Macaca mulatta: one gene and its partners. The protein of the gene in region 2 interacts with the protein of the main gene of each other region in a pairwise test. Links are inferred from orthologs where the notes say so. Each region holds a gene or a part of one and is shown on either strand. Other genes may lie near its edges. The genes, in order: DNAJA3, ATOSB, FHL5 and KIF20A.

The links.
Region 1: the proteins of ATOSB (region 2) and DNAJA3 interact in binary tests that used the Homo sapiens proteins (3 or more experiments, as listed by UniProt). The link is inferred for Macaca mulatta from reciprocal best matches to the Homo sapiens genes ATOSB and DNAJA3.
Region 3: the proteins of ATOSB (region 2) and FHL5 interact in binary tests that used the Homo sapiens proteins (3 or more experiments, as listed by UniProt). The two-hybrid records come from large-scale screens. The link is inferred for Macaca mulatta from reciprocal best matches to the Homo sapiens genes ATOSB and FHL5.
Region 4: the proteins of ATOSB (region 2) and KIF20A interact in binary tests that used the Homo sapiens proteins (3 or more experiments, as listed by UniProt). The two-hybrid records come from large-scale screens. The link is inferred for Macaca mulatta from reciprocal best matches to the Homo sapiens genes ATOSB and KIF20A.

What each region holds. Positions count from the first base shown.
Region 1 is NC_133425.1:5,706,355-5,710,100, forward strand, and holds the end of DNAJA3 (dnaJ homolog subfamily A member 3, mitochondrial), read left to right. Parts: exon of another isoform or gene 1-856; coding exon 857-960; 3' UTR 961-973; exon of another isoform or gene 974-974; intron 975-1,587; coding exon of another isoform or gene 1,588-1,610; 3' UTR 1,611-2,822; downstream 2,823-3,746. UniProt on the Homo sapiens protein: Modulates apoptotic signal transduction or effector structures within the mitochondrial matrix. Affect cytochrome C release from the mitochondria and caspase 3 activation, but not caspase 8 activation.
Region 2 is NC_133420.1:64,608,630-64,613,468, forward strand, and holds the start of ATOSB (atos homolog protein B), read left to right. Parts: upstream 1-1,637; 5' UTR 1,638-1,739; exon of another isoform or gene 1,740-2,331; intron 2,332-4,839. UniProt on the Homo sapiens protein: Transcription regulator that may syncronize transcriptional and translational programs.
Region 3 is NC_133409.1:89,326,840-89,331,764, reverse strand, and holds the start of FHL5 (four and a half LIM domains protein 5), read left to right. Parts: upstream 1-1,762; 5' UTR 1,763-1,990; intron 1,991-4,925. UniProt on the Homo sapiens protein: May be involved in the regulation of spermatogenesis. Stimulates CREM transcriptional activity in a phosphorylation-independent manner.
Region 4 is NC_133411.1:147,034,719-147,039,580, forward strand, and holds the start of KIF20A (kinesin-like protein KIF20A), read left to right. Parts: upstream 1-1,458; 5' UTR 1,459-1,630; intron 1,631-2,082; 5' UTR 2,083-2,103; coding exon 2,104-2,268; intron 2,269-3,850; coding exon 3,851-3,940; intron 3,941-4,037; coding exon 4,038-4,157; intron 4,158-4,743; coding exon 4,744-4,862. Other genes in the region: BRD8 (bromodomain-containing protein 8), read right to left, coding at 2-98, 1,023-1,041. UniProt on the Homo sapiens protein: Mitotic kinesin required for chromosome passenger complex (CPC)-mediated cytokinesis. Following phosphorylation by PLK1, involved in recruitment of PLK1 to the central spindle. Interacts with guanosine triphosphate (GTP)-bound forms of RAB6A and RAB6B.

The DNA of each region.
Region 1 (3,746 bases), on a different chromosome or scaffold from region 2:
TTATGGTTGGCAAATCTGTAACACGTTTGTGCGAGAAAGTACCTCTAGGTGGTGTCAGCCTGGGCCCTAAAGAAATAGCAGCACACCTCCCCCAGGTTGAGAGCACTTAGGTTAGGTGCCCCAAATGGGGGACAACTTGCTCAACTTGTTGCACCCCAAATGGGGACAACATAGACTGCTGATGTGAGGGATGAGATGAAGTGCCTATGACAGAGGATTGTGTGTGGCCGTGACTCCGACATGGGCTGTTCTGCAGGGTCTTTGTACACAGCAGCAGCATGGAATCTGGTCATTTGGTCTAGAAGTAGGGTTTTTCTTGGTGTCATTATTCACCTTCTTATAGCCAACAGCGTGGTGGTTGAGAGTCTCGGCTTTGGAGTCAGACTGCGTGGGCTCGCACTCAGTCCTCCCTCTCGCTTGTTGGCTCTGTGGGCCTTGGGTAAACCCTGCAACCTCTCTGTGCCTCCCTTTTTTGTTTTTTTCATTTGCCTGTAAGGAAGTGTGTGGCCTGGCCTGGGAGGTGCCTGGCACTTGACTGTGTTTTTGTCACTGTTGCTCAGATAGAGACAGCTGTCATGGTCCGTCTCCGTCTCTATTTCTTGTTTCCCTGCTGTGGGTCCATGATTGAAAGAGCAGTTGGGAGACCTTCAGGCTCTGAGTGCTCTGTTACCTCAGTCATTTGCCAGGTGAGGCATCCTGTGCCATCTTAGGAGTGGCCCCCACTCTTCTTGAGGTGGCGCTTGGCCGCTCCTTGAATGTGGGCCCCTGGGTGGCCAGGCGGGGGTAGGTGGGGCCGAGGATATGACCTTGGAGGTGCGGGCCCCTGACGCCAGTTCTTTCTGCTGTTTGTGCCCAGGTGGCAGCTCCATGGATAGCTCCGCAGGAAGCAAGGCTAGGCGTGAGGCTGGGGAGGACGAGGAGGGATTCCTTTCCAAACTTAAGAAAATGTTTACCTCCTGATATCCCAGCTGAGGTAGGAAAACCCTGGAGGTTTCTTTCCCTTTGTTTTCCTCTGTGAACTAATCCTGGTTTTCTCCCACTTTAACTAATATTGTGCCCCCACCCCCAGGAGTGGGAACAGGTGCCAGTCCAAGGTGTGGTAAACCTCGCTCCACTAGGAGCCGGCCTCTCAGCCTAGGGAAGAGATGACGTGGCAGTCAACCTGTAGTGTAGGACTGGCTGGGCTGCCGCGGCCAGCCTCTGGCTGTGTCCTCTTCCTGGGGAGGTGGCAATGGGGGGGCTGTTGTACAGCCCCCTACAGTGGTGGTTCAGCTTGCCCATGGTCACAAAGGGCGAGTCAGGCAGAGCCAGGCCTAGAACTCAGATCTCCTCACGTCCTGCCTGCTTGGAAGCTGCCCGCCTGCATAGACAGTGCAGGGCTGTGCAAGCCTGGGGGCTGCTCCAGGATGGCGCTTGCTCGCCGTGTCATCTTGGGACTCACTTTTGTTGACTACGCTCATCTCAGCGGCTGGGGTTCTCGCCCCTCTCTTCGCACAGCTGCTTTCCAGGGATTAACAGATGCTCCCCAGCGGGGTGTGTTCCCTTGAGATGTTGAGTATAAGGTAACTGCCTGTCTCTTTGGCTCAGGAAAAAGATCCACTGGAAACTAGGCCAGGAAGCAGCAGCCCCTCCCAGGGCCAGGGCACCTGGGAGACGGGAGGATTCCAGAACAGCAGCACTGAGCTCCCCCCCGCAGAGCCTCTGGACGGCCCTGACAACAGCAAAATCACGGGACAACACCTCTCTCCACAGAAAGGTCACAGTGGACAGCCTGGACAGTAGGATGCAGCCCCGAAGGCTGGTGGCAGTTTCCTGTCCATGGGTAGGTGACGGCCCCTGGCTCAGGCAGAGGGAGATGGTTAGACTCTTGTAGGGCTAAAACTCTAATTTGGAATTGAATGTTGTGGAGATCTTAATTAAAGGCCACGCTTACAGCTTAGAAATGAAGGCTTAAGTGGCACCAAGTTACAAAGTGATTTATTTCCTTCTCAGCAAACCTCCGGGAGGTTCCAGAATGAGTTCTTTCTCACAGGTTGTCTTCATGGGAGCCTGGGGCCCCCCAGGCCCCACCAGCTCCGTCCTCCCCTGATGAGGGGCCCTGCTGAGGTGTCAGCTGCTCTGCTCAGTTAGTCTTTATTCCCGGGGTACCAAGCAGCTGCACACTCAGGGCCTGGGAGGCACATAGAGGCCCAGAGAGTCCATGGGGGTTCTGCTCCTGACCGTGTGGGTGGTGGTGATCCCTGTCAGGATAGACAGTCCTTGCTCCCACCCCATCCAGGATGGCCGCCTGTCGCTGACCATTGAGTCCTGTTGTTGTAAGCCAGGCATGGAGGGCTCCGGCCCGTCTGTTGAGCCACAGCCCTCTGCAGCACTGTGCTGGCCAGATTTCAGCTGCCTTGGGAACTGAAGCCCTGCCACTGTTGCTAGCCAGGGGCTTGGTTCTCCCACTTACACTGTTGACATCTATTTTCTGAAGTGTATTTAAATTATTCAGTGCTAATCATTGTTTTTTCCTGTGTAAATGTTGATTCAGAAAAGGAAAGCACAGGCTAAGCAGTTAAAGGCTCCCCACTATTCAGCCAGAGCAGAACCCCCGTTCCCCAGCCTCTGCTGGTAGCATGTCGCAGTTTCCATGTGTTTCAGGATCCTTGGGCTGTTGTCAGACAGGTTAATGAAGAAACATTTCTCAATAGTTTCCTTTTTGTTTTCCTTTATAATTCACTAAAATAAAGCATCTATTAGTGTCTGATTTAGGAATGTAAAATGATTCTGTATTAATGTAAATAAGATTATCTATTGCAAAAAGATATTTAAAACCTAAATTGTGGTCATTTCTTCTTTGAAAGAATTCAGACAGCCTCTGCAGGTAGCTTATGGGAGTTACTGGAGACTTGGCTGGCCTCATCCTGTGCTCATGCCCACCCAGAGTACATAGAGGCAGACAGGTCTGGGGTGCCGACAGTGCTGACCCTCAGTCAGATTCCAGAGCAGGGTGCTGGCCATGACACAACAGTCCCATGTGAGTGAATGTTCTAGAATCTGGATGTGACTTTTTCCTTGGGAGCCCATGCTGTGAGAGCTGGGCAGTGTCCCTGGGTCCCTGCATTTCAGTCACCCTCACTGGATTGTTTCTCTACATTCTTTTCAGAGTCTTTGCATCTTTTACCTTCAATTTTATTTTATTTTTTTGACATAAGAGTCTCACTCTGTCGCCCATACCGGAGTGAAGTGGTATCATCTCTGCTCGGTGCAACCTCTGCTTCCTGGGTTCAAGTGACTCTCCTGTCTCAGTCTTCTGAGTAGCTGGGACTACAGGTGCACGCCACCACGCCTGGCTAATTTTTGTATTTTTAGTACAGATGGGGATTTCACAGTGTTGGCCAGGCTGGTCTTGAACTCCTGACCTCAGGTGATCCACCTGCCTTGGCCTCCCAAAGTGCTGAGATTACAGCTGTGAGCCACCATGCCTGGCCAAAATTTTTATATATTATAGTTTGGCTACTCTGGGTTCCCAGCCGAGCTCTATGCCTGACATGGCTGAAGGGGCCCTGATACACAGTTCAGTCCACCCTGGTGCTCCGGGCTGAGCAGGGTGAGATGTGAGTCCATTCGCTGGGTCAGGTGGAGAAATAGCTGACGGATAGCAGAGGCTCAGCAGTGACATTCTGCTCATCTCAGATACTTCCCAGTATTTTCATCAATGAAATATTGATTGCCTGACTACTGTGGACACTCAGTATGGACCA
Region 2 (4,839 bases):
AAGTCAAGTAATTTACCCAAATCTATACAGCTAGTAAATACTCAAAGGTATGAGACAAACTCATAAGTTGAACCCATAAGTTGAAGTTTGAAGTTTAAGTTGAAGAAGTTTAGATGACTTCAAACTCTGTGCTTTTCCCACTACACAAAACCTTTCTTAGTTTGCCCTTCTGGGATTATGTAGGCATTTGTATCACTGTCTAAACAATACGTTCCTTATGGGCAGAGAAAATACTTTGTTCTTTCTTTTTTTTGCGCCTTCCACACCATTGACGTTGAGTAAACCAGTTTAAGTTAACTACTGGCATAAAGTCACAGAGCCTTGAGAATCTTTGTCCACCAGGCTGGAGTGCGATGGTGCGATCTCAGCTCACTGCAGCCTCTGCCTCCTGGATTCAAGCGATTCTCCTGCCTTGGCCCCCCCCCCGCCCCCGCCCCCGCCCCCGCCCCCGCCCCCGCCCCCGCCCCCGCCAGAGTAGCTGGGATTACAGGCGCCTGTAATTTGGCGGGTGCTGTGGCTCACGCCAGTAATCCCAGCACTTTGGGCACCGAGGAGGGTGGATCGCTTGAGATCAGGAGTTTGAGACCAGCCTGGCCAACATGGTGAAACCTGTCTCTACCAAAAATACGAAAATTATTCCAGCCTAGTGGCGCACGACTGTAATCCCAGCTACTCCGAAGGCTGAGGCAGGAAAATTGCTTGAACCCAGTAGGCGGAGGCTGCAGTGACCGAGATCGCACCACTGCACTCCAGTTTGGGCGAAAGAGCGAGACGCGGTCTCAAAACAAATAAAAAAGAATGTGACTTTTGGAGAACTTGATCAAATCAGACCCAAACGGTCTGCTCCTCAGAGAGGCCACAGATTGGCGCTGAGCTGGGCTCTCTCAGTTCTGCAAGTGTCCTGTACTGCCATCTACCGGTGTCTGGAAAGCGTCGCCCTCCCTTATTGTATCTCATGGGGAGAGGCTGGAGAGAAGAGACTCAAGCGCCACTTAAATTGCAGAACATATGTAACTGTACTGCAGTTCATTCGACACCTGTACAAGGGAAAGGCCTCACTTTTCTCCAGCAATTGCAGGCCATCCTAACTCCATATTAACACTCATCTCGTAAAATTCACAGATCTCCTCGCTGACCTGCCTCAATAGGTACAGATCTGACTCCATACCAACACTCATCTCGTAAAATTCACAGATCTCCTCGCTGACGTGCCTCAATAGGTACAGATCTGACTCCTACTGTCCATCCCAGAACCCACACCCGCCTGCACAGCGTAGGCTTCAGAAACTGCTCAACCTCGCAAACCTGAACCCCATCGCCCAGATTCCCTTATTTTCACAGACCCCTGAGATTCCTTGCACTACCTTGCAAACCCTACGGACCTCCCCTATTAGTGCAAATGCACGCGCCAACCCAGACATCCCTACAAAGAGGCTCGAGTTTCGCAGGCAGCTCACACCGGCGCGAAAGCAGCGAGAGAGCCCCAACCCGGCTCAGAGCCCTCAGGCTTGTGGCTTTGGCCCTGGCTCCGGGTTCCCACCCTTCCCTGATCCGCTCCGCTCAGGCTAGCAGCCTGTCGACCGAAGCCCCGCCCCTCTAGACCTGTCATCACAGAAGCCGCACGTGGCCGGGTGGGACCTCAGGCGACCTGCGGCCATCACTTTGTCTCCTCCGTCATCCATTGGGGCTGCCACCGCCAATCAGAGCCAGCGGATCCTGGTTGGATCGCGACCGCCCGGGTGAGGCGTGAGGGAGAAGGGGCGGAAGGAGGAGAGGCTCTGAGATGGGAGGGGGATCGTGGTGGAAGGGGGCCTGGCGCGACTTCTGCCAGGCTGGAATCCGAGGGGGCGGGTCCCGGTGAAAGGCGGAGAGACCAAGAGAAGGCGGGGATCGCGGGTGGGGCCTGGGAAAAGCTGAGGATCCTGGGGAAATGCAAAGAAAACGCGAAAGAGGAGCGGGGACAGAAGGGGGCGGGGCCCGGGCTACAGGGGAGGAGCTCGAGAAATTAAACGAGGAAAGGGACAAGTCCGGAGAAGGTGGAAGGTGGGACAAGGGAGACGGTGGGCCTGGGCGTTGCGGGGGCGGGGCTCGAACCGAAGGGGCGAGGTTTGCAGGCCGAGACTACAGATAGGACTGCTCAGTAACTGCCCCAACCACTACCACCTACCCGAGTGCAACGGGATCCACGGAACTACAGGTGTGGGGCGGGGTGAGCGTGGAAGAAGGGACGCGGATGGGGGTGCGCTTTGCAGACAATCTGGAGACTGCTGTATGTTGAGGGAAGACACGGAGTCGGGGGAGCAGTTGGGGACTCAATGTGTGGGCAACAAGGTGCATTCTCTAGGGGCCTCTATGGAGGAAGGGCAGGAGCGCTTTGTTGTGGGTGGGGGGGTGTTGCGAGGTACACCGTGAGGGGACTGTGTCGCTGTCTGATGTGGGGGGTTGGAGGAGGTACATGAGGGGGAGGGGACTTGGAGGCGCTTTGACGGAAGGGGGACTGTTTAATGGAGAAGGGCTGGTGGTCCAGAGTGTAGCGGTGTCGGAGGGTCTGTGGGCACTATCTAGGGGAAGGGGTTGTAGGCCCCAGTTGAGGCGGGAGAACAGAACCCCCAGTACTTTGAGAAAGTAACAGTTTAGGGCATTGTAGTAACTCCAGGAAGATATTGTGTTCTGGGTTCTAGGAGCAAGGGTGATGGAGTTAGTTGGGTGAAGAGGCCAATCTGTTGCACTCCTGTCTGCTCAGCTTTTAACTTCACCTCCTGGCCTGAGCACTCAGAGAGGAGTCGGACCCTGCTTGTCACCAGGGCTTGTGTGACTGTCTCCTCAGTCTCTTTTGGATCTGTCCAGCTGAGACTGGGGTTTCTTCCCCTAGCTGATGTCCTGGGGGACCCTTCCCCCACTGGGTTCCTGTCAACCCCCCATCCTAGTTCCTGTTCCTCCCAGAGCCAGCCTTGTCTCTGTCTCCCCCTCCCCCTCCCTGCCCTGCCCTTACGCTCTGGGTGTGCTCATTTCCCACTTCCTTCCTTGCCCCAGGGCCTGGCCTGGCCCTTGCCCATCTAGGAGCCATGCCCTGCCTGGGACTTTGTGCTCAATGACCAGAGACCATGGTAACCAGCAGCAGGGCTCAGACCCCACCCCCACCACTACCACCCAGGTCTCTCACATAGACCCCCAAGTGACTGGTAGCCACATTTAACCACTTGACACAAACTGATTTTCCCCACCCTTGTCCTTCCCCTGGGTGGGGAACACTAGGGCTTCTGTGGGAGGGGGGAAGTGGTGAGGAGTATTGAGGATCTTCCATCTGTTTTGAGAGGTGGGCTATGACTGTAAGCTGAACCCAGTAAGGGTTGTGAGGTTCCAGCCTCAGGGAAGGAAAAGGGAGTAGCTCCCCACACTCCAGGCTTGGAAGCACTATCAGAACCGAGACTAGGACCTAGTTCTCTTGAGGGCTCCTCTGCTTCCCTGAGGGGATTTGATGGAGTGCTAGAGTTCCTTTTGCCCCTAGGCTGGCTGGGAGAGGGTGGGAAAGGCTTGAGTTCCACACAGTGGCTGAATGAGTGTGACAGTGTTGCTAAAAGGGGCCCCAAGCCAGCCTCCTCACACAACCACCCAGGAGCTGAGAGACTGGCTGGGGAGGGGGGGATTGTGCTGAGGACAGACAAAGCCCTGGGGTAGGGTGGGGTAAAAAAGGGCAGGCTGAAGCCTTTTGAGGAGGAGCTGATTGCTATGGCAACACTGCTTCCCAGACAGTCTCTCAGAGAGGGCGGGCCTAGGGCAGACTCTCTCTAGCTTCCTCAGGACTGGGGAGGTTTGTGTGAGTGGGTGGGGCATGAAGAGAAAGGGCATCAGTTTGCTGTGCTGAGACTGGAGGATATAGCCTTTCTGCTTTGGTACAAGGCAGCAGGGCGTTCGAATGCCTGGAGCTATCCTCTGATATGGATATGAGTGAACAACAGTCATTAGAATTATAGAGCTGCAGAGGCCCTCAGCAGTCATTGTTTATACAAACCCCTTATTTTACAGTTTTGGAAATTTATGGCTAAAGAGACTGTGATTCCCCAGATGTCACAGTGAAAGGGCTAGATAGGATCCAGATCGCCTGATTGCTGTTCACTCAGCCCAGGGCCTGTTGTTTTCTTCAGTCAATGTTTATTGAACATTGCCAGGGACTCATGTTGGCTCTGTGAATATGAGCACAAATGAAACAAAGTTGCTGCTCTCATGGAGCTTCCATTCTAATAAGGGGAGAAAGAAATTATATAGGGGGAGGGAGAAGTCAGGTAGTGATAACTGCTATTAAAAAAAAAAAAAAAGCATGGTAAATTTAGGGCAGGAAGGTAAGGCCTCTTTTTTTTTTTTTTTTTTTGAGAGACAGTCTCAGTCTGTCGCCCAGGCTGGAGTACAGTGGCATGATCTCAGCTCACTGCAACCTCCGCCTCCTGGGTTCAAGCGATTCTCCTGCCTCAGCCTCCTGAGTAGCTGGGATTACAGTTGCGCGCCACCACACCCAGCTAATTTTTGTATTTTTAGTAGACATGGGGTTTCACCATGTTAGTCAGGCTGGTCTCGAACTCCTGACTTTGTGATCTACCCACCTTGGCCTCCCAAAGTGCTGGGATTACAGGCATGAGCCACCGTGTCCAGTAGTAAGGCCTCTTGGTTGTACCCTGCTGCTTTCCCAGGGTATATTGAGGCCTGGAACATCTTTGATCCTTCACCCTGAACTATTGTCCTCTGACCTTTGTAGGTAACTAAGGCCTGGCCTATGGTAGTGGCAGAAAGATAGGATAAGGTGGGGTTGCTAAGGGATATTTTTTTTCCTACAGTGTTCTATGT
Region 3 (4,925 bases), on a different chromosome or scaffold from region 2:
GCAAACTAACAAGTTTGGAATGGGGAGAAGACAAAGAGGATTATTCGGGACTGTTGAGTTTGAGATGTCTGGGGACTTCTAGACACGGTTGTCTAATAGATAGTGGGATACAGGTCTGGAACCTTGAAGAGTGATATCAGATGAAAGTACACATTTGGGAATCATGTTGTATAATTGTTCACTGTTTCGATGAAGAACATGATGGAGAACCTTCAGAGAAGCATAATGAACAGAGGATAAAGCTCTAGGGAAGACTGAGGTGAATAGAGAGAAGGCTAAAGATGCTAAGAGCAAACAGAAAATCAGAAGAGTGTAACATAGCAAAACCAAGGAAAGATAATTTCAAAAAGAAATAGACATGGCCAGAGATGAGAATTTTTCGGTAAGACTAAAGACCATGCTCTTTGGGTTGCTAATCAAGGTTGTATATGATCTTAATGAAGCTTTTTTGGAGTGGTTCAAGTGAAAGACAGATTGTAATAAGTTGGGAGGGAGAAGGAAACTCAGAATGTTGTAGATTTGGAATGACTTGGTGAATGTAGATTACCCTCTCAGGAAGCAGGGGAACAAATGAAGAGGGTGATGGTCCCAGGCACGTTTACATCTCAAAGACTGCTTTCCTTGCCCATAAAACAAGGAAAATACAGCTAGTACCTGCTTAGCAATGGTGTCCTAAGGATTAAAATCTATTACTAATGAAATATACTTATATCCTTTTGCTGAATCCAAATTTATTGTTGTTAATCACCATATGTTCATTTTCATAATGTCTTAATCAGTAAAGTCAAGTGAATAACAAAACACACAGTTAACTGGCTCTGCGTTTCCCTAGCTCAAGTTCTTTGACTGTATATACCCGAGTTTGACCTTAGAAGATATTAACATTTCACTCCTTTAGCACTTAGAACAAGGACAGTTTAAGTTTGGTCTGGAATTAAGGCAGAATTTCTTCTCTCATCCTGCCTTCCAAACTGAAGAAATGGCCTCAAATGGAGATTCTAAGAGAAAATGTCACTTGCTTTATGAATCAGTGTGCCCCTCTGAGAATACTTATTGTGGATTGGTTTAATATCCAAAACTTTCTTCAGATCCAACTCTTGACATCGCTGTCTACTTTTTGTGTTTCGAAGATTTCAAAAAACCCAATGAGTTTATGCTTTATGAAGTCATACAGCCATGGATGTGATGTCACAATTGTGGCCAGCTCACCAGGAAGCAGGCAGAGCAGGAAAGGCTGGGCCTACACTGCAAGTCCAGAGAGCAGGGAACTACCTTGAGTACTCTACTCAAACTTATGTCTCAGATTTCCCCAATTTCCCAAGAAGGCAGTGATAGAGGCCACAACCCAGGGGGTCATCTCTCAAGGTACCAATAGCTTTGCAGGTAAGAGCATGGGGCCTCATCTCTTTCCAGACAGTCCAAAAGAAAAGCTCAGCAGTTCAGACATTTCCAACCTAAAAGAAAGGTTCTGATCACCACCAGAAAACAAAGAAAACAAAGCCAAAAACAGATTGAGGAAACAGAAAATACATCATGCTTTTAGAGCATTATTTTTATAAATATGCCCTTAATTTAGCCTAGTTAGTGGAAATTTCTCAAGTGTGTATGTGTCTGTGTGAACGTTGTGTATTTTAAACTTTTTGGAGCTTAGCCAGATACTTCGAATGCTAATCCTGGCAGAATTTCCCTTTAAGGATGTCCTGCAGAGAATTTGTTACTCATAGTTTCAAGTAAAAATTGACAAGTAGTGCTTTTTCAGCCCAGTAGGAGTAATGCACATGGTGTAAGACTTGGAGGAAATGCAGGGACCCTTCTGTTTTCTCCCGCAAAGTTGAAAAAGCTACATGCAGTTGGAAAGGATCTTCAGATGGTGCTGGTGACTTTCTGTTCCTTTGGGAGTTAACACGCATATGGATTGGAGGAAAAATAATCAACATATATTCTCCTTTTGTATTGTTTAAATTACAGGAAGAAGCGGCTTTAAGACAAAGTGAGTTCTTTCCCCCAAATGTTTCCTTTGTTTTGTTTTGTGGTATTTCGACTTCTCTAATTTTTTTTTTTAAGGATGAGAAATTTTTATAAACTTTCCAGTAACTCCTTAAGAGAAAAATTTTGCTTGGCAAAAGTGTATGCCTTTTGAAGTTTCTTGGCCATTTTAGCTAAAGATTATCAAATTTTATATGCTGAGCTTTTCAGATTTATCATTCTCATAACTTGCGTGTGGAGGTTACATAGTGCCAGATAACTCCTTGGAATTGTCTCTTGAGTTTCTCTAATGGTTTTAATGCAGGGTACAGCTTTATTGTTGTAAAAAGAGGAAGAAGAGGAGGGCTCTTGAGATTTTATTTGCCTTCGTTTATTTGAATGAATAATATTATCACTTAGCATATTTTATGACTAGATTTATATTTCAAGAGCACATTTTGAAGTCACTTACAGGTTTTAAGTAAAAGGAGTTAATGAGATTCCTGCTATTTTCAAGAAAAATCTGCCTACTTTCCAGAAGTGGGCATACAAAAATTCATAATCTTAGGTTTCCTAAGGTTAAATTAAAATATCTGTGTTTCCAGCCCACAGAAATATATAATAGACTCTATCAATTTAAAGTGCTACTTCTTGAAACAGAGGTAGTGTTATTCAGGCAAAAAGCATACACGCCATATGTGTTAATGCTTTCTCTCTCACTATTTTAGTCCTATCCTCTTTGGTACCTATCATTCATTTGAAAACCAAATGTAGCTCCTCGGCTGTCATTTCAGACTTCAGAAAATTGGAAATTAAAAAGAATTATTAACAAAATGCATAGCTCTTATACATAAAATGTAAGGAAATCCTTGAGCTCTTTTAGCCCTCATTTCGTATCCACAATACCATCATGTGTAAATACTAGCATTTTTATTAGCAAAGCATATGGATTAAAATTTAACATAAGTATTGCAAACATATGTATCATACAAGATATTTCTTAACATATGTGTTATGATATATGCTTAAAGCCATAATCCAAATTGCTTTAAGGGGAAGGTAAACTGTGGTGTCTGTTTTCTACACTTGTTCTATTTATTCTCACATTATCATTAGTTGCCAAATCTGGGACTGTTCTACCTAAGCAAGAGTAGCAGATTTGTGTTTTAATATAACACCACCTCACTGACAAATTTACCTCTTATTTTCATTACACTTGCCAACATTTTGAGTAAAGCTGAATTAATTTGTATTTATTACACAAGACTGGGTACTTTTCTACTAAAATATTACAAATAAGAGTTTAGAATATTTAGAGACGCTTTAATTTGTTTTTATTTTTATGTTTTCAATTGAGGGGATATGATCTCTTTAGAAATGAAAGCTGAATACTTGGGTCCGCATGGGAAGCTCTGAATCAGATATTAGTTAAACCAGCTTGCATTTCCCTGTTCTCGTAATTATCTTTTTCCTCTCCAATTACCATCATTTTTCTTGGTTGCTTTTTGGTACCCTTGAAAGCTCACTGAAGAAGAGGAAGAGAAGAAAGAGGTAGAGGAAGAGGAGGAGAAGGAGGACTCCTTTTTGCCCAACATGCCTCAAATCCCTGCAAAATAATCAGCTTGAGGCCAGGCATGGTGGCTCACTTCTGTAATCCTAGCTTTGGGAGGCCAAAGTCGTGGGGATCACTAGAGCCCAGGGGTTCAAGACCAGTTGGGGCAACATAGGGAGACTCTATTTAAAATAAAAATAAATAATAAGCTTATTGATGATATACCCTAGTATTTTATATGAACTAGTAAAGCATTCTTATGGGTTTGGATTTACCTTATCTTTACTATATGTCTAAACTTTCACACGGGCTAATTACCCTGATTAGAACATACTAGGGTATGTCAACAGCAAGGTTTACATTCATTAAATAAATAAAGATAGAGAGTCTGTTTGAAAGCAATAGTGTGATGTGGAGAAGACAGTCAAGGTTTTGAAGTGTCATTCATACTGAGTTTTCTATGAATGAGAGCAGGTGAGTTTGCCTCCCTACCTTAAAGATATAATTAAAACAGCTGTATTACAGAATTTTATATTAGAATAATAATAACAGTAGTCATTTTTATTTTTTTTCTTCTCAAATTCTTCGGTTGCATTTCCAGCACCAATGGACCTTAAATTTATCTCACTTGATTTTTAGCAAAGCTTTGAGCTATTCCTTTGCATATTCATTTTGTCAAAGGAGTATTTACCAAATGGATCCTGAGTAGATTATTTTGATAAATTCAGGTTGTCTCCTCACATTTAAAAATATACCTTTTTGTATTTTTACAATTTCATTGCAATTGTAATCCTCTAAAGATGGTGGTGTGGAAGTGGAGTGGAGAAATATGCTTCTGGGGCTTGTTTTCCAGTTTGATTCTGTTTAATTATTTCTTACAATTGTTCATAAAACAATTTAAGTAACATGTCATAAGTCACATGACTTCTAAGAATTTTCTTCTTTTTTCTTTTTTGCTTTTATTATTACTATAGACATATAACTGTACATATCTATGGGGTACAATGTGATGTTTGTATACATGTATACAACAAATTATCGCATCAGGGTAATTAGCAAATTTATAACTTTATTTTTCATTTCTTTGAGTTGGAAATATTTAAAATCTACTCTTATAGCTATTTGAAAATATACAATAAATTGCTAATTATAGTTACCCTATAGTGCTATAGAACACTCGAACTTATTCCTCCTATCTAGCTGTATTTTGTATTTCTTAGCCTACCTTTGGCTATCTCTTTCTTCCCCCTACCCTTTTTTGCTTCTAGTAAGAACTATTCTGCTCTCTCCTTCTATGAGATTGACTTTTTTTAGCTTCTGCATATTCATGAGGACATGCAGTATTTATCTTTCTGTTTCTAGCTTATTTCACTTAAAATAATGTCCTCTAAGCTCATTCATGTTGCCG
Region 4 (4,862 bases), on a different chromosome or scaffold from region 2:
CCAATTTTGATCTCCACTTCTCATGACAGAAGATGCTAAACACAGCTTCTCTCGGATGGACCATGGCTCTGTGGGGCCAGTACTCAGCAGCTTGTGTTCTGGGAAACGAAAAAAAAAAAAGCCTTGGAAGCAACCACTGAGACTGTAGTGCTAAGCTCCAAAATCCCCAAAAAGGGGACTAAAAGCCTAATACAAAATATTCCAACTTGTTAGGACAAAGTGAGCTACTATCACCAAATCTTGATTTTCACCTCTCCAAGTGAAGTATCACCAGTGACCGTGGTACCAATTTGTTGCATGTGAATTATTAACATTTTATTTCTTAAAACGCCACGGCTTGAAGCTCCGCTTTATTAAAAAATTGGGAATGTCAGATTAGGCAGTTCTCCCTAAAAGCCCAGTTTTAAGAACACTGGACTTTATTCCAGTTTGAACTCATTCAGGGCTTATTTCCCAGGAACCCGAGCGGCCAGCCCCTCCTACAACCCCGCCTCCCTCTTAGCATAAACTTGTTTACTTCTCTCAGATCCTCTACTCCAAATGTCGGGCCTAAAAGACCTTTTCAGTCCACTAAAAGAAAAATGGCTGAAATCCCCGAGATGCAATTTCCTGAGTGGCAAGAAAAGCTCATGGTTAAAAGGCCCCACTTCCACTGCCTCACAAACGTCGAACAAAAAATGAATGGCTCTTTGAGGTGCCGGTTACTCCGTCTGGCTCATAACATCTTTTCGTCTGCACGCCCAAGTTTCTAGAGTGCTTTTACGGTTACCCCGAAGGGCTCCTAACACACTAGGATTCACTAAGCTCCTTCTCTCACACCTCCGCTCCCTCCCTGAGAAACAAGACCCCAGATTTCTGGGCCCCCAAACGTTGGTCTTCACGATGCTGTGGAGCGCAGGTCTCTGAAAACCCTGAGCTCTCAAGCAAACCACTTCTCCCACTCCCTAAGCGTGTAACAAAAATATGGTGCCTAGCCTCGGATCTACAAACGCCTTTCACGCAAAACCTGCTCAGATACTCACTGCCCGTTCCCGTCGCCATCTTGGCCCCGAAGTCTCCAACCCTGAGGAGAGACGGTCTGGTAGGGCCGAAACCCTGGAATTCTGGGAAGTAGAGTACCGGCGTTGGTTCGCGGTGCCTCCTGGGAAATGTCGTTTTTTCCCCTAAGACAAAGCAAGCACCCTAAACCAGTTATCTTGTGCAATCCTTTTAAGATTTTTGCTAAGGAAGGACAGGGGTTGGCGGCTGAAGCCTCAAGATTTCCTTTAGGGTTCTTAGGTAAGAAATGTCTAAGGTTCAAGAAAAAGGGTTAAGCTGGAAGAATCCCAAGCGAAATAACTCCTAACCCGCGACAGTTGGTAACCCGGACCCACATTAGATCTGAGAGGTCAAGCGGATGCAAACTACTGGAATTCCAGTCGGACCCGCCCCTTTTCCTTACGCGGATTGGTAGCTGCAGACTTCCCTATCTCATTGGCCGAACGAACGCAGCGCGTAATTTAAAATATTGTATCGGTAACAAAGCTGCACCTCGTGGGCGGAGTTGTGCTCTCCGGCTGCGAAAGTCCAGGTTCGGCGACTAGGTGTGAGTGAGCCGGTACCCGAGGAGGAGCAAGTGGCACGTCTTCGGGTGAGTGTGCGGCTGTGCTGGAGCCCGGGTTACCAGCTCTTGCCCACGCGGAATAGGCTTTAAGAAATCGGAACTGCAGCCATCTGTTTTTCTCTTAATGCTGCATCTCTGTTCTCACGGTGGTCCTTGAGGTTAGAAAAGGAGCCGAGGGATCCTGACACCACCTCCACAGCACCGGCGGGCGAGGTGCCCTACTTTAGGCCTGGCCTTTTGCTTTTGGAGCCAGATTTCTGTGGACTTCTGTTCGCTTTCAGAAATGCAACCTCAAACTTCTCTCGATTGTTCATTAAGTGAACTTCTCTCATTCCCTTCCCCTTTGCCGATAATTAGAGGGGAAAGGAAGTAGGGAGCGGGACCCGGTGTCCTGGGGCAAGGGACTTATTACCTAAAATTCGCGGCCCCTTCTGTCCCTAAAGGTTCTTCTCCCTGCCCACTTTTTGGTCTCTTTTTAGACCTAGGCTGCCCCTGCCGTCATGTCGCAAGGGATCCTTTCTCCGCCAGCGGGCTTGCTGTCCGATGACGATGTCGTAGTCTCTCCCATGTTTGAGTCCACAGCTGCAGATTTGGGGTCTGTGGTACGCAAGAACCTGCTGTCAGACTGCTCTGTCATCTCTACCTCCCTAGAGGACAAGCAGCAGGTAAAGGAACTGGGGAGTGGCTGGGGCAGAAAGTGACATCCTCAGGTCAATAGTTGTCCATACACGGTAGTATGAGGTCAAAGACTAGCAATCCTGAAGGTTTGAGAGATCAATTCAAAATTAGGGGCATGTAGGACAAAATGGCTACGAAAAGAAAAAAAAATTAAGGGCATGACAAGTAAAAAAAAAATTAAGAGTTGTGTGTCCAGAAGAACTATTATTTGCATTGCATTAATGAAATACCCTCAAGTGCATGCTCTCAGTTAATCAGGAAATAATAGTTATCTCTCTTTGCCTTGAGGCCCAGTTGTGCTAAATAATTTGCACAAGGTCATATAGGCATTATGTAAGTGGAATGTATGTTCAGGTTTTGATAGTATCACCATAGCTTCAATTTGTTGTAGCTTTCCTGCTAGGCCAGGGTTTCTCCATCACAGCATTGTTGACATTTGGGGCTAGACAGTTCTTGTAGGGATCTGTCCTGTATATTGTAAGATGTTTAACAGCATTCCTGACATCTACCCACTAGATGTCAGTAGTGCCTTCCCATTTGTGACAATCAAAAAATGTCTTCAGGCACTTCAGGCATTGCTTAAATGGCCTTTGGAGTGGAAATGACCCTGGTTGAGAAACACTGTACTAGGTCCTATGCTAAACATTAACATACATTGTCACATTTTGTGCTTTTATAGAGTTTCTCTTAGAGACTTAAAAAGTTCCATGACAGCATGGTCCTTGATAATGTCTCTCACTATGGACTATCAGAGCTTCTCAGTTCCTAGGGCATAGTAGGCACTCTAAATATCTGCGGGTTTTTTTGTTTTTTTGGGGTTTTTTGTTTGTTTGCTTGTTTGTTTGTTTTTGAGATGGAGTGTCGCTCTGTCGCCCAGGCTGGAGTGCAGTGGCACAATCTCTGCTCACTGCAACCTCCGCCTCCCCGGTTCAAGTAGTTCTCCCTCCCTCAGCCTCCTCAGTAGCTGGGATTACAGGCACCCCCCACCAAGCCCAGCTAATTTTTGTATTTTTAGTAGAGACGGGATTTTGCTGTGTTGGCCAGGCTGGTCTGGAATGCCTGACCTCAGGTGATCTCCCCCCCTCAGCCTCCCAAAGTGCTGGGATTACAGGCGTGAGCCACTGCGCCCGGCCTCTAAGTATCTGCTGAATTAATGACATGGGTGCTATTATTAACTCCATTCTACAGATGAGGAAATTGAGGCAAAGACTTTTAAGAACTCATAGTTCAAGGTCTCATAGTTACTAAGTGATGGAATTGGGACTCAAATTCAAGTGTGTTTGCCTCTGCTTTGCTTTAATATCACATACAAATTTTCATACCAGTCAATAAATTCTAACTCAGATCATTGGTGTGGCAAGCCAGGTTTGCAGGATAATGATGAGACAGGGAAGGGTGACAAAGTAGTAAAAATGTCCATGTGGGTTGGAATGATTGTGGAACCAAAGAGTAGCTGCACAGAGACATTTGAGGTGAAATGGGGTACTGTTATCATGGTTCCTAGAAACTACTGTTTGCCCATTTGCTGCTGAAATTAATCTGTGGTTCTGGGCTGGAATTCTGCCACAGGTTCCATCTGAGGACGGTACGGAGAAGGTGAAAGTATACTTGAGGGTTAGGCCCTTGTTACCTTCAGAGTTGGAGCGACAGGAAGATCAGGTAAGTGTCTGAGAAGGGAGGATTTAAGGTGAAATGATGCAGTACAAAAGATTCCCAGGAATGCCTTTTGTGACAACTGTATTTTCTCCCTTCTCAGGGTTGTGTCCATATTGACAATGTGGAGACCCTTGTTCTACAAGCACCCAAGGACTCTTTTGCCCTGAAGAGCAATGAGCGGGGAATTGGCCAAGCCACCCACAGGTTCACCTTTTCCCAGGTATGAAGGGTACTGGTTTGTGAACAAAGGACCAACATGTAAGGGCAACTTTATTCCCTCTTTAGAGGGAAAGCTTCTCTACCTGACTGTGAGTTCCTTGTATACGCACACCTACAATTTTGAGGGCCCTAGTTATGTGTTAGTCAATGTGTCAAGCAACATATGTATATCAATTCTGAAAAATTCTATTGCTATTATCATTATTTCCTTATTTTCCTCACAAGGATAGTGTGGCTCAATGAAAGTAATATTGCTGAAGCCATGTAGCTAGTCACTGGTAGAGTTAGGACCTGAGTCTAGATCCATGTATCTCCAAAGCCCACGCTTGTGGGCCATTATATTACCCCATTGTGTGTGCAGCATCAGGCCTAGGGCATAGCATTCCTTAAGTGTTTGTTGATTTGGTTGAAAGATGGACTAGCAGAGAGTGCTTGAGTCCTCAGTGTTTAGGGAACAGCTGGCAGGAAGAAGCTGCTTGAGTGGTCTCCAGAGCCAACCACTCAAGAAGGAATATATCTGCTGGCTCTGCACAGGAGGCAAGTGGGAGATGAAGGATAGGCCTCTAAAAAACTGGGTCTCTCTCTAGATCTTTGGGCCAGAAGTGGGACAAGCATCCTTCTTCAACCTAACTGTGAAGGAGATGGTAAAGGATGTACTCAAAGGGCAGAACTGGCTTATCTATACATATGGAGTCACTAACTCAGG